Linked DNA regions of Canis lupus familiaris. The protein of the gene in region 1 interacts with the protein of each later gene in a biochemical or structural test. Links are inferred from orthologs where the notes say so. Each region holds a gene or a part of one and is shown in the gene's direction. Other genes may lie near its edges.

Region 1 (4,522 bases):
TATTTCCTTTCTCCTACTAACTTTAGGCTTTGTTCTTTTTCTAGTTCTTTTAGGCACAAGGTTTAATTGAGGTTTTTCCTGATTCTTGAGGTAGGGCAGTAGCTCTATGAGATTCTTAGAACTGCTTTTACTCCATCCCAAAGACTGAATTGTGTTTTCATTTGTCTTCATTTATTTTTTTATTTCCTCCTTGATTTCTTGGTTGACACGTTCATTGTTTAGTAGCATGTTATTGGTGTTCTTTTTATTTTTTATTTTATTTTATTTTTATTTTTATTTATTTATTCATGAGAGACAGAGAGAAAGAGAGAGGCAGAGACACAAGCAGAGGGAGAAACAGACTCTACACAGGGAGCCCGACGTGGGACTCGATCCCAGGTCTCCAGGATCATATCCTGGGCTGAAGGTGGCGCCAAACCACTGAGCCACCTGGGCTTCCCTATTGGTGTTCTTTTTAGACTTTTTTTTGTGATTTCTAGTTCAACCAGTTAGCCACCCAGGTGCCCCAGTGTCTTTGTTTTAAAATCTATTTTATCTAATGTAAGCACTGCTACTTTGTTTTTATTTTTGGCTTCCATTTGCATGGTAAATGTTTTCTAGCCTGTCACTTTCAGCCTGGGTCTTTAGGCCTGAAGTGTCTCTTATAAGCAGCATATAAATGGATCTTGCTTTTATATCTGTTCAGTTACCCTGTCTTTTGATTGGAGCATTTAGACCATTTACATTTAAAGTAGTTGATAGGTATGTACCTATGACATTTTGTTAATTATTTCCTGGGTATTTTTGTAGTTCTATTCCTTTCTTCTTTTGCTCTCTTCCCTCATGACTGATGACGTTCTTTCTTCTTTTGCTCTCTTCCCTTATGACTGATGACTTTCTTTTAATGTTACACTTGGATTCCTTTCTAATTTTTTGTATTATTATAGGTTTTTGATTTATGGTTACTATATAACATTCCTATATAACATCCTAAATATATAACAGTGTATATTAAGTTGATGGTCACTTAAATTCAAACATATGTATGTATGTGTGTGTGTGTGTGTGTGTGTGTGTGTGTGTGTATATATATATATATATTTTTTTTTTTTTTTTTTAAGAGAGAGCACAAGTGAGTATGGGAGAGGAGGGACAGAGGGAGAGAGAGAATCCTAAGCAGGCTCCATGCCCTGCATGGAACCCAATGCAGGGATTGATCTCACAATCCTGAGAAAATGACCTGAGCTGAAATCAAAAGTCAGATGCTTAACCAACTGAAACACCAAGGCATCCCGAATTCAAATATATTCTAAAAGTACTATATTTTTATTCCTTCCCCTCCACATTTAATGTGTCTTATTTTGCATCTTTTTATTCTGTAAATCTCTTATTTATTTATTTGATATAATTGGTTTTACTACCTTTGTGTTTCAACCTTCACACTAGATTTTAAGTGATTGATCTACTATCTTTACGTGTTTTCTTTTATTGGTGAAATTTTTTCCTTTCATAATTTTCTTCTAGTTATGCCCTTTTCCACTTGGAGAAGGCCCTTCAACATTTCTTGTAAGTTTGGTTTAGGGGTTGTGACTTTAACTTTTGTCTGGGAAACTGTCTCTTTCCTTCAGTTCTGAAAATGAGTTTGCTGGGTAGAACATCCTTGCACGTAGGTTTTTTTCTTTTGGTCTTTTGCAGGCCAGAGGGGGAATGGCATATATTTGTCTATATGTTATATGTATATATAATCTCAAAGTTTCTACTGAAAAATCAGCTGATAGCCTTACGAGATTTCCCTCATAGGTAGCTAGCTGCATTTCTCTTGCTGCTTTTAAGATTCTCTATCTTTAATCTTTGACATTTAAATTGTTATAGGTCTTGGTGTTCCTTCTTGGGTTCAGCTTGCTTGGGGTTCTCCTGGACGTCTGTCTCTTCCCCAGATTAGGGAAGTTTTCAGTTATTATTTCTTCAAAAAAAGCTTTCTGTCCCTTTCTCTGTTCTCCTTCTGGGATTCTTATGGCATGAATGTTACTGTCCCAGAGATTCCTTAACCTAACCTCAATTAAATTTTTTTTCTTTTTGTTGTTCAGCTTGAGTGCTTACTGGTCTTTCCGGATCACTAGATTTGTTCTGTATCATCTGTTAATTCCCTCTTATGTATTTTTAAATTTTAATTATAAAAAAGAATGAATCAGAGATAAAGAATATATTTTCTATTTCTTTGAGTTCTTACTGAATTCATTTACTCTTCTCTGAAGTCTGGTGAGCATCTTTATGACCATTACTCTGAACTTCCTCGGGTTGATTGCTTATCTCCATTTTGTTCAATTCTTGTTTTGTCTTATTCTTTCATTTGAAACATATTCCTTTGTCTCAAACAGCTACATCTTCCTGTCTTAAAGGAGTGATCTTGTGTAGAAATGTCCCCAGTGTAGACTGCAGGTGCCTAGTAGCTTTGGGTGGAGCCAGCTCTGGTGGCATAGCTGAAGCAGGCATGGGCTGGGCTGATTTGGAGTGCTTTATGCCATGATTGCTTTGGTGAGGTAGCTGAGGGTGTCCTGGTGTGTGCCATAGTGGGCCTGCATTGAGCTGGTGTGGGCTAGGGTCCCAGGGCTTGTTGAGGATGGCTAGAGCATCTGGGCTTATCTTGCATTATCAAGGTGGAGATGGAATGTTAACAGTGGTACTTGCTAATACCCTGTGCCCCTGAGAATTTCAGCAGTTTCTCTACCATTTGGCAGATGCTCTCGGGTTAGTCAACTGGTTCTCTTCGATTAGTCTAGTTGCTCTTTTTTTTTAATTAAATAATTAATTAATTAATTTTTATTTATTTATTTTTTTTTCTAGTTGCTCTTTAAACTGCTACTATTTTTCTGTGCCCCAGGTCTGGGGAAACTGTGTGCTGACTCCTCAGTGGTCTCTCTCCCTACTGTAGTTTGTAGCATCAGGGGTGGGGGTTTCATCATTACTGTGTCTCCATCTCTTCTGCTGTTCTCTCTGTGGTCTATTCTTTTTTGTGTAAAAGCTGCTCAATTGGCCCTCAGTTCTTCAGGAGGAATTGCTCTTTATGTAGATGTCGATTTGGTGTCTGTGGGAGGAGGTGAGTTCAGAGTCTTTTTGTGCTGTCATGTCGGACCCCTCCTACCGTGGTATTCATTTGAGAACGGAAGTTGAATCTTTCAGAAGTGGAAAAGCATTAGAGCACCTTTCTTATGTACCTTAGGGAGAAATAACATGGTTAAGAGTACATTTTCAAACTCCTCTCTCCTCTGAAGGGAAGCTAAACTAAATTCCTTTATCCATGTCAGGAAGTGATAATTTAGAACCTCTCTTCATAGGTACAGAAGGGCAGCCCTGCTGAATTGGCAGGGTTGGAGGATGAAGATATCATCATTGAAGTGAATGGAGCAAAGGTGGTGGATGAACCCTATGAGAAGGTGGTAGACAGAATCCAGAGCAGTGGGAAGAATGTCACACTCTTGGTCTGTGGAAAGAAGGCCTATGATTATTTCCAGGTTAAGAAAATCCCTGTTGTTTCTTCCATGGCTGATCCACTGGATGAAACTCCTGATTCCAAAGAAGAAACACTGGCAGAACCAGAGCTCGAGTCACATGTGGCAAAAGAACGAGTGAGTGATGACAGACTTCTTTTAGTGATCTAACCTATCAGGGTATGATAAAGTCCTTAATAAGTACACCCCAGGTCTGTGTTGACCACACATTTCCTAGAATACTGGAAAATTACAAAGAGAACAAGCAAGTTAAATTATTTTGGTGGAGAGGAAGTGGTATGAGGACAAGCTTCTTTTTCATAGCATGGAGTTGACAGTAACTGTCTGGAGAAAAATCAATTAATAAAAGTTTATCAAAATTATAATGGAACCACCAGAAGAACCTGAATCAGACTGTGTACAAATTCTGATTCTGTCACTTAACAGCCTTGGGCAAATGGACTTATTTTCTCTCTGCCTCACTTACCCCACTTGTAAACCAAGAATAGTTTATAGGATTATTAGGATTATATTAACTATTCTTTAATTTAAAAAAATTTTAAGTTTAAAATCAATTAATATATAGTATATTACTAGTTTCAGAGGTAGAGTTTAATGACTCATCAGTTGCATAGAACACCCAGTGCTCATTCCATCACGTACCCTCCTTAATGCCTATCACCCAGTTACCCCATCCCCCCCAGATACCTCCCCTCCAGCAACCCTGTTTGTTTCCTATTAACTAAGACTATTAAAGTGCTTCAAACAGTGCCTGGTTAATAATGGTAAGCCTGAAACTGAATGGTAGTGGTTAGAGACATTCTTTTTAAGATAATTGGCAGGTATGTATGTTTTATTAATAGGAAAAAGCATTACTCTGGATTAAATTCCTTGATAAGTCTTTTATATTTTTGTCAAGTTCATAAAGGAAATGAACGGCAAAGCCAAAACTCCAAAAGATTTATGTCATTCTTCTTTCCGTTATATTTAATTCTACTCCATTTACATTAATTTTACAGATTGGTCATATAAATTAAATACTACTTGTTAATGAA
Region 2 (5,006 bases), on another chromosome or scaffold:
TCCAACCCTTCTCCTCTGTGGCTCCCTCACCAATTTTCTGTTCTCCTACCCTTAGCAAACAGAGCTCCAAAGAACAGAAAAGAAAAGAAAAAAAAAAAAAAAAAAAGAAGAAGAAGAAGGAACAAAGAATGCATACGCCTTGGCACCAACTTCACTTTCTCAGCCATCTGTAAGTCCCAGGCCTTCCTTTTGTCTTGCTCTGGGCCCTGAGCGTTTCCAGATTCTTGAAAGCCTGACCTGGGAAGGGGGTGGGGTGGGGAGTGGGACCCCCTCTGCCCAGCACAGCCTCCCCCCCACACACACACCCCGTGTCTCGGGAGGGGTGGTGGGGGTCCGGGCTGCGGGAGACGCAGGGATGAGAGCAGGCCCGCGGAGCGGAGGGGCGCGGGGCCGGGCCGAGGGGCGGAGGGGCGGAGGGGCGGAGGGGCGCGGGGCGCATCCCTCCCCGCGCGGCGGGCGCGAGCTGGGGCGGGGGCGCAGCGGGTCCCGCGCGGCGGCCGGGCTGCGGGGCTCCGGCGGGGCTCGCTCCCGGCCTGGCTCGGGGCCGCCGCCGCCCCCTCCCCGCGCGCCCGCTGTCTCCAGTCGCGGCCACGGGGTAGCGCTCGGCCCCCCTCGCCGCGTCTCCGCCTCCGCCCGCGCCGCGCTCGTCCCCGGCTCACGCGGCCCCCGCAGCTCCGGCTCGGCGCAGGCAGGAGCGGCTCTCCGGACGCCGAGCCCGGGAAGCGGAGGGCGGCGGGCTCGGCGAGCGGCGGCGGCGGCGGCGGCGGGGCGGCGGCGGCGGAGGCTGCGGAGGCGGCGCGGCCCAGGCGCAGGGGCGGCGGGGCCCGTGCGTCCAGGAGGCGCCGCGCGCCCGGAGCCGGGGCTGCCCGCCGGGCTCTCCGCGCGCCTCGCCCGGAGCTCCGGCCAGGGCGCGGCGGAGGGCAGCGCCGCCCGGCTCCGTCCTCGGCCGGCAGGAGGCTCGGCGCCCGGGCCGCCTTCCCCGCCGCCGGCGCGGACATGGGCGCGCGGGGCTGCGCGCCGGGCCGCGGGAGCCGCAAAGTTTGCTAGTCCGCTGGGCGCGGAGCCGAGGGCGCGCCCGGGCCGGCGCCGCCGGGGGCACCGAGCCTCCCCGATTGGGCGCCGGGGCGCGGGAGCCGAGAGGGGCGGCTCGGCCCCGCCGGATGCCGCCTGCAAAGTTACAGAGAAGAAAACTTCGGCTCCAGCGAGGCTCGGCCCGCTATGCCAGCCGCGCCCCCCGCGCCCCCCGCGCCCCCCGCGCCCCGCGCCCCTGAACGCAGCCCCGCGCCCGCGCCCGCGCCCGCCGCCGCCGCGCTCGCCTCCCGCCCGGCCCCGGGGGCCCCGCGCCTGCAGCGCCGGTGACTGCGTCCGCGCGGAGGACCCAGCCAGGGGGCGGGGAGGGCGCGGGGGGCGGGCAACGTGGCCACGGAGGAAGTTTCCTGAAGTTGCCGGCTTATTCCGGAGCCCGGCCCGCCACCCGGCCGCATCGCGGAGGCCGCCCCGCCCGGGAGAAGTCGGGAGTTGGGGCGCCGCGGGGAGGGAGGAGCCCCGAATCCGAGAGCGGGCTTGCCCCCTGCTCTTGGCTCGCCCCCGGGCCTTCGGCGCGCGCCGCCGGATCGGACTGGGACAGCGGACCCGAAGGAAGGCTTGGGGTCGCCGGCGTTGCCCCTCCCGCCCACCCACCGACCCGGGCCGGAGCGGCGTGGACAGTCTCCCGGGACCCCCCACCCCGCACCCCCGGATTATAAAACAGCGCGGAGGACACCCCTGCAGGGCCGGGCACCATGTGGGGGCTGCTGATCTGGACTCTGCTGGCCCTGCACCGGATCCGTGCGGCCGCAGCCCAAGGTAGGAGGGCCACCCCCACGTGGGGCTGGCTTGGGGGGCTGGCTTGGGGGGCTGGCTTGGGGGGCGGCGGCTCCTGGACACCGCGCTTGGCCTGCGCAGAGCCTCTCCAGGGAGTTTCAGGAACCCCCCCACTCGAGTTGGGGGGCTCCCTTTTTTGGGGGGGTGGGGCCGCCTTTCTGAGACTTGTGGCTTCCCGGGGAGGGAAGGTGGGGGTCGGTGTTGGGAGCGTCGTCCGGGGTGAGGGGAGGGGTGGAGCGCCCCCCCCGCCGTGGGTGCCCCCCCCCGGGCCCGCGTGGGTGCGGGGCTCCGCGCCCGAGCTCCCCAGCCCGGGTCCCCGGGTCCGCGGGAAGGGCCAGGCCCCGTGCCCGGCAGGCGCTGAGCGCCCGGGGCCGGCCGAGTGGGGCGGGAGCCCGAGTCGGATCCGCCGGCCGCCCCGGGGGGACAGTCTCCGGGCCAGGCCGCGGGGCCGGGGGTGCTCGGCTGAGCGGGCCTCGAGCCCGGACCCACGCGGGGTGGGGCGGCCCCCCTGCGCCCCCGGACACACGCAGCATCCTGCCTGGACCTCCCCCTCCGCCCGCCGCTCCTGATTCTCTGACCTGTGGCTGCCTGGAGCAGCCCCTGCCTTGGGGGCGGGAGGGGGGAGGGATGGGGAGGGATGGGGAGGCGCTGGGAGGGTCCGCGCTGCCCCCTCCGGAGGGCGGATGCCCAGACACCCCCCGCCCCCAGTCCTCGGGCAGGTCCCAGCGGGGGAGGCCGGTTGCACCGCCGCTTCCTTGCCTTTGGGGTTCGCAGACCCAGACGGTGGTGCCAGCGGTGTCCGAGCGGCGCCTGCTGGGGGCGGAGGGAGACGAAGCCCGACCGAGCTTCAGGACTCGCGGGGCTCGGCCTCCCGGTTCCAGGCTCCAGGCTCGGGAGCTGCCTGCACCCACCCGGGGGCGCCGGAATGCGGAGGCTGCATCCCGACCGGGCCCCACCCCAACTCTGGGGTCGCCCGCCAGCGAGGGGGGGAGGTGAAGGGACCCCACTGCGCCCAGCGTCAGGCAGTCCAGAGAGCCGAGATCAAAGAGATGAGAATAATCAGCTCTCACTCACCGGGTTGAAGGGAGGATTTTATAAGGTAATTTACGTTAAACCACTTAGAAATTTTGTAAGGAGCCCTGTAAATGTAAGGTAATAAAAGTTATTATTAGTTTTATGATCATCGTAAAATCTTCCAGCAGCCTGCGGACCTTAGAGGTCGGCTGACTCTAGCTACCACTTCGCAGATAGGAAAACTGAGGCCCAGAGGCATTAAATGACTTTGCCCAAGGCTGCTGCGTGCACTGGGGGCAGAGTCAGGGACCTGGTGACTTTTGGGCCCTTCTGTCCCCGGACCCAGGACCCTCCGCAGCTGGCGTGGGTTTGCCAAGGGCTGGGCCCTCCTGGGAGGTCCTGGGAGGACCTTGCTGCTGGCAGAAGAGGAACAAGGTGCAGCCTGCCCTGGGGCGCCTCACAGAGTTGCTCCGAGACGCCCGTGGGGCTCCTGGCCGAAAGCCGGGAGAGAGGGAGGACTCTGGGGGTGTCAGCCCCAGCTGGAGGCATCTGACTTCATTACTGTATGGACTGTGGCAGTGGCATGATTTCCCCGGGGCAGGTGGCTCACTCGTTCTTGTCCACGCAGGCCCAGGCCCATGAGGAGTCCCCTGGGCACCCAAAGGTCCTTCCCTGTGGGCCATCAAGCCTCTATCATGTCCCAGCCGACCCTGTCCCATCCACCTGAGGCCAGGATCCACCAGTCCGGCTGAAGTTAAGGCCCGGCCACTTCTGTCCCCGTCCTCCTGCTGGAGGGGCTCGCCCTGTCACCACACGGAAAGACTGATTGATTCCCTCCCTCTCTGGTTCTCTTGTTTGCTGCCTTCTTGAGTGAGGCTGCCCAGGTCCCCTGCTGCTCCGTTTGTGTTCTCTGGCTCCGAGAGAGTGTTTTCCAGCATCCGTGGGTACTCTCCATTTGTCTCCTGGCGGCAAACCATGCAGGGGATTGTGGGAACTTGGTCTCGCCTGGACTTAGGGGTGCTGTGTTGTGTGTAGGGGGCCGTGGGGTGTGGGGGGGTTAGGGTCAGGCCATGGGGAGACTCAGTTGAGGGGGGTTCCTTTCCTACCTGCTTTAGGGTTAGAAGGTGGAGGTTCTCTTTAGCTTCTCTTTTGAGGTTGAGGCCATGCCCTTAACCCTTTGGGGGTAGTTGAAGCTGCTGGCACTGTTTGTTCCTTCTGAGCTCCTGAGCCCTTCAGTCATGTGTCTCCAGTCATGACACAGAGTGAGGGCCCAGGTGGCCTTCCTCCCTGGGGCAGACCTCATATTGGCCACCACTGAGGATTTTATCTAGACCTTGGCTAGTGTTTTCAGCTGCTGGACCCCAGCAACATCACCTGCCTATACTGAAAGCCACTTTTTAACCATTTCCCCCAAAACTCCGACAGTTCACACCCATTTCCTAAACTAAGTGCCGCGATGTTGTAGAAAGAGCGATTCCAGGTATTTGAGGGAGCCCGCCGCAAGTGCCTGGCACTTAGAAGGCGCTTCATAAAGGGGAATAGGTTTTTTTTTTTTTTCCCTTTTAAAGATTTTATTTATTCATGAGAGACACAGAGAGAGGCAGAGACATAGGCAGAGGGAGAAGCAGGCTCCCTGCAGGGGGAGCCTGATGTGGGACTCCATCCCAGGACCCCGAGATCACACCCTGAGCCCAAAGGCAGACGCTCAACCACTGAGCCACCCAGGTGCCCAAGGGTAATTGTTCTGATGATGATGATGATGATGATGATGATGATGATGATGTTTTTACACTGTTAAGCCCGACCATGAGGAGTAGCCCTGGCCACCCACCCACCTTCTATTTCAGAGGCTGCATCGCGGTCCTCAGTGGCCCTCCGGCGGTGCTGGGCTCCACTCCCAGGTGCTCTGCCTGGAAATGTCTGGGTGAGCCTGGATGTCTGCATCTTAGCCAGCTTCTCAAAAGATTTTTCGGGTGCCATGAAAATTAATCGCTGGTGGACATCCCAGGGAGGCCCAGGGGCTGAGAGGAGGGCAGTAGCCAGCCCAGCCATCTGGTCCAGAAGGTTCTTTCGAGAGAACGGTGCCTGGGGGAGGGACAAAAGGGAAGTGTGAGCTGAGTGAAGCAGGC
Region 3 (4,953 bases), on another chromosome or scaffold:
GATTGCCATTTTATAGGTAAAGTGACTTGCCTCAGCACTCCAGGCTGACTCAGAGATTAGATCAGGAGGGAGCTGGCCTAGCCAATCTTGGCTCAGCATTGAGTAGGAACTCAACTAATGTTCTTAGGAATGGGTGGATAGACATATGACTGGCTGGCTAGGTGGGTGGGTGGGTTCATGAATGGATGGACGGATGGATAATGTTGGACAGGTTACTCACATAGTTGCCCAAGCTAAATTTTTTTATTATTATTTTTTATTTATTTATGATAGTCACACAGTGAGAGAGAGAGAGAGAGAGAGAGAGGCAGAGACACAGGCAGAGGGAGAAGCAGGCTCCAGGCACCGGGAGCCCGACGTCGATTCGATCCCGGGTCTCCAGGATCGCGCCCTGGGCCAAAGGCAGGCGCCAAACCGCTGCGCCACCCAGGGATCCCCCCAAGCTAAATTTTGAATGGAACCCACTGCTGCTGGATCTGTTCAATCTTCCTCTCTTAGAAGGGAAGCTCCCTTCTCATCATTCATGTGAATCTGGGCCCCAATTCAGGCTCCAGAGTCCCATGAAAGGGAAACAAGTTTCTCAAAGGCTCCCTAAGAGCCCTCTCTGGGTTTTAGAAGTTTTGCAACAGACCTCATGCCATCATCAGCTTCTTGATCCAGAAATCCAACTGTCATATAGTTCCTCTTTCTGCCACGCTCCCCATCGCCCATTCCATTGTCAAAGTATCCCTGGGATGCATCTTCTCTCCATCCCTCCTGTTCCACTTGATTCAGACCTCATTGTCTCTCCTCTAGACCATCTCATCAGCCTCTTAGCTGGTCTCTCTGCTTCCAGACTTGCCCCCTTTGACAGACAACCCCCTTTTCTCCTACTAAAGAGACCATTCTAAAATGCAGACCAGGCCTTTCCTTTTTTTTTTTTTTTAAGATTTTATTTATTTATTCATAAGAGACACACACACAGAGAGAGAGAGAGGCAGAGACAAAGGCAGAGGGAGAAGCAGGCTCCATGCACCGGGAGCCCGACGTGGGATTCGATCCCGGGTCTCCAGGATCGCGCCCTGGGCCAAAGGCAGGCGCTAAACCGCTGCGCCACCCAGGGATCCCAGACCAGGCCCTTCCTGATCTGGCCAGGGGCTCCACATTCTCTCAGACACATCCTGGATTTGTGGTTACACACTGGAGACCCTCCCTGACTCAACACTATGAAGCCTTCCCAGATTTCTCTATTACTCTTTCCATCACATGCTCCCTCTCCTCCAAATGCTCCTAAGACCCACAGACAGATCCACAGACATCCAGGTTTGTGGCAAGACAAGAGTCCTGTCAGACTAAGAATGAGGAGAAGGGGCTGGAGCCATGAAATCTTTTTGGGGACCCTGGGAATAAAGTGCCTAAGTAGCATAAGGGTCTTTGCCTGAAGGCAAATGTGTCTGTGCCCTAGCTGGCTTGGGTCTCTTTCAGGCTGAGTTTCTGCATGGGGAAAGGGAAAGCCTGACTACAGACTCCCCCAGCAGAGCTGACGATTAGTAATTAACTGGGAGGAATCTCAGGGGTGAGGTTAATTGGGGAACAGAGAGAGGGCAGCTAGGGTTTTGGGACTTTGCCCTTGACCCAAGGGTATAAAGAGGAGGGTCCCAGCTCTGCCTCAGGCCCCTGGGGCTTCCTTAAGTAGCTGAGCAGGAGCTGAAACACAGAATCCCAAGGTAAGCCTAGGGCTCCTCACTCCCAAACTCATCCCCAAGCCTTAGAAGGAAATAGCCTATCGGTCTTGCTCCCTCACCTCTGCCCTAACTGTGCTTCCCCTTCCTGCACCCATAACATCTCAGTCCCAGTCCAACCCCGCAAAGGAAAGAACTCATGCACTTCTCTTCCAGCTCCCTGCAATTCCGCCAAATAGCCAAGGGCCCTTGGGACAACATAGGGGTGTGGGGGTACAGGCTGCTGATATAGACTGGGTATGCTCACCCCAACCACCAAGAACTCCTGAGGCAGTTCAGGGGGCTCTAAAGCATGCCAAGGGTTTCTCAGATTGGGGCGGGCATGGGGAAACCTCCTTACCTAAACCGGTCCTGGTCTGAAAGCCATTCATGGGAGAAAGGACATTGGTGTTTGTTTATTGCTGTGAGGGAGAGAGGCAGGTGGGGGAAAGAAGTTCGTTTGCGAAGGGAACTCCCAAACCTGAGATCCAGGCCAGTGGACTCTCCCGAGTGCACATCCAGCAGGTCCCATGAGCAAGCAGGTGTCCACGGCTCTTCTCTGCTCTCAGGATGATCAGAACTCCTCCCACACACACAGCCTTGGCCCACATCTGCAAGCTCTGCTGACACACGTTCCCTGGCCCCCTCTGGCTGCAGGGCACTCACAGCTCCTTTCCCTCCAGAGGCCGCTGCACACATGCCCTTCTCCCTCGCCATCAGGCGACTCCTACTCATGTTCATCTCAGATGAACAGCCCAGTCATCTCTGCCCTCCACCCCCTCCATGGGGCACTCTGGTGGCACCTGTATCTGTCATTAGAACCCTTGTTCCCATTGCCACTTTCTATGTGAGGGGTTACTTCATTGGCATCTGTCTCCCTGCAAGACTTGGAGCTTCCTGAGAGCAGGGGTTGTCCTTGTATTGAGTCATCACTGTACCCTAGCATCTAGCTCAGTGCCTAGGATAGAGTTGATACTCAACAAATACTTGTTGAGCAAATGAATACATGAATCTGGGATGAGTACCTGAATGTGCATCTCTGGTACATGTGGGGGTGGAGGATGTGCGTTAGGGATTGCACACCATGGGTATTTGTGCATATGATTATGTGGGTGTGGATGTGGACAGGGGCGTGTGAGCATGGGTCGGTTCCCAGGACACAGCAGTTGTCATTCAGTGTTACTACAGCTCCACGGTGTGCACCCAGGATGATGTCCTATGGAGAAAGGCTGGGGGCCCCAGCTGTCTCCCCACACCCAGTCCGAGGCGGACACGTGATACGTGGGACAGCCTTTGCCTATGTGCCCAGCCCTCAGGGTGAGTGCTGCTCCCATCCTTGGACCCTTAGTGCCCACAGTTGCTACCATCCCTGGTGAGGTCTCCACCCCTCTCCCTGCCCAGCACGTCCTTGACCCTGCCTATCCCAGGGCTTCTGGGAACTCCTTATCAGCCTCCCTCCCCAGTCCTGCATAGGATCCCAGGGACCTCCGCCTACGCCTTCCCCAGCCTGGGCCCTGTGGCCCTTCCTGAGCACGGCTGCCCCTATGGAGAGGTTCTGGAGTGCCATGACCCCCTGCCTGCCAAGCTGGCCCTGGAGGAGGACCAAAAGCCAGGTGGGCCTGGGCAGGGGTGGACAGCAAGGATGTCAGCAATTGATGCCTTAGCTCCTGGCCCCTGTGCTCACAACTGGCCCATCTCCAGAGCTGGGCCTGGCCCAGAAGCTGTGCCAGGTTGGCATGACATTCCTCAAGGTGCCACTGATGCTCGCCTTTCTGTACCTCTTCGTCTGCTCCTTGGACGTGCTCAGCTCTGCCTTCCAACTGGCTGGAGGTAGGACCAGAGAAGGGGACCGGGACAGGGTTCCTGAAGGGCATCAGGCAATGCTGGCTAATACTCCTCAGGGAAGGTGGCTGGTGACATCTTCAAGGACAACGCCATCCTGTCCAACCCAGTAGCAGGGCTGGTGGTAGGGATCCTGGTGACGGTGCTGGTGCAGAGTTCCAGCACCTCCACGTCCATCATTGTCAGCATGGTCTCTTCTGGCTGTAAGTTGGCCCACCAGGGCTAGGGAAAGAGTGTGGGGGGCTGAGTGTGCTGGATGGGGGCTGAGGTGGTGCATCAGAGCTGGGGGCCAGGAAAAGAAGTGGGGCCAGGGAGCTAAGGGCAAGGGGCAGGACTCCAGCATCTCCCACTCCATCTTCCAAGGCATGGCCGGGAATCTTAGCCAGGAGAAGTGCCTCAAGATTTAGGAAGGGTGGCAAATGGGGAGTCCAGACCCAGGAAGGCTCAGCTCCCTATCACCACATAGTCCTTTCTTCCATCAGTCAGGGAAACAGAACCTACTGGAGATATACATATGATTTATTGCAAGGAATTGGTTTATACAATTGTGGGGCTGGCTAAGCAAATCTACAATCTGTAGCAGAGGTTGTTGGGAAGGGCAGGCTGAAACTCTGAGGTGAAGCCAAGGCCGGATAGCCTCAGTTTTGCTCTTAAGGCCTTTTATCTCACCAGATGAGGCCCACTCAGATATCAAGAATAATCCCCTTTACTTAAACTCAACTGGCTGTAGAGGTGAATCACACCTGCAGAATACCTTCACAGCAATATCTAGGCCAGTGGACTGAATGAGTGCTGCAGCCTAGCTAAGCTGATGCATGAAACTAACCATCACACTTTGGATGCATGCACACACAAGCACAGATCTGCATTTGCGTACAGGACACGTGCCTCATATACATATATGTGCACATGCAGTGTATCCATTCACATGCACGCATATGTATCATGTATACTCACATGTACCTGTGACATCAAGGCTGGGCAGCATCATGGCAGGACTGCCCAGTGGAGGCCAGGACGTGGGCAGCGAGCTGGAGGGAGATGTTGTGGGGGCAGGAGCTAGGAGGCCCTCACACAGTTATGTAAGAGGTCCTCTCTTCTGCTAGTGCTGGAGGTGAGCTCTGCTATCCCCATCATCATGGGCTCCAACATCGGCACCTCTGTCACCAATACCATTGTGGCATTGATGCAGGCGGGGGATCGGACTGACTTCAGGCGGTGAGGGGGTAGAGTGGCGAGGGGCCTGTGTTTGTCGGGGGAGGGTGGTTCCAGGTGTCAGGAGCCCCTGGTATAAGTGCATCCTGGCTCTGGCCTGTCCTGCAATGTGGCCTCCCCACCCAGGGCCTTTGCAGGGGCCACAGTGCATGATTGCTTTAACTGGCTGTCGGTTCTGGTCCTGCTGCCCCTGGAG

What was found.
Region 2: the proteins of PDZK1 (region 1) and SDK2 interact in a test that uses a peptide from one of them, tested with the Homo sapiens proteins (2 studies listed by IntAct, with this or other methods). The link is inferred for Canis lupus familiaris from reciprocal best matches to the Homo sapiens genes PDZK1 and SDK2.
Region 3: the proteins of PDZK1 (region 1) and SLC34A1 form a complex in vitro, tested with the Homo sapiens proteins (2 studies listed by BioGRID and IntAct, with this or other methods). The link is inferred for Canis lupus familiaris from reciprocal best matches to the Homo sapiens genes PDZK1 and SLC34A1.

Annotation. Positions count from the first base shown.
Region 1 is NC_049238.1:59,155,182-59,159,703, reverse strand, and holds part of PDZK1 (Na(+)/H(+) exchange regulatory cofactor NHE-RF3), read left to right. Parts: intron 1-3,314; coding exon 3,315-3,605; intron 3,606-4,522. UniProt on the Homo sapiens protein: A scaffold protein that connects plasma membrane proteins and regulatory components, regulating their surface expression in epithelial cells apical domains.
Region 2 is NC_049230.1:7,487,738-7,492,743, forward strand, and holds the start of SDK2 (protein sidekick-2), read left to right. Parts: upstream 1-1,666; 5' UTR 1,667-1,781; coding exon 1,782-1,845; intron 1,846-5,006.
Region 3 is NC_049225.1:36,857,280-36,862,232, reverse strand, and holds the start of SLC34A1 (sodium-dependent phosphate transport protein 2A), read left to right. Parts: upstream 1-1,613; 5' UTR 1,614-1,706; intron 1,707-2,877; exon of another isoform or gene 2,878-2,888; 5' UTR 2,889-2,908; coding exon 2,909-3,017; intron 3,018-3,150; coding exon of another isoform or gene 3,151-3,163; coding exon 3,164-3,313; intron 3,314-3,401; coding exon 3,402-3,530; intron 3,531-3,601; coding exon 3,602-3,745; intron 3,746-4,648; coding exon 4,649-4,760; intron 4,761-4,883; coding exon 4,884-4,953.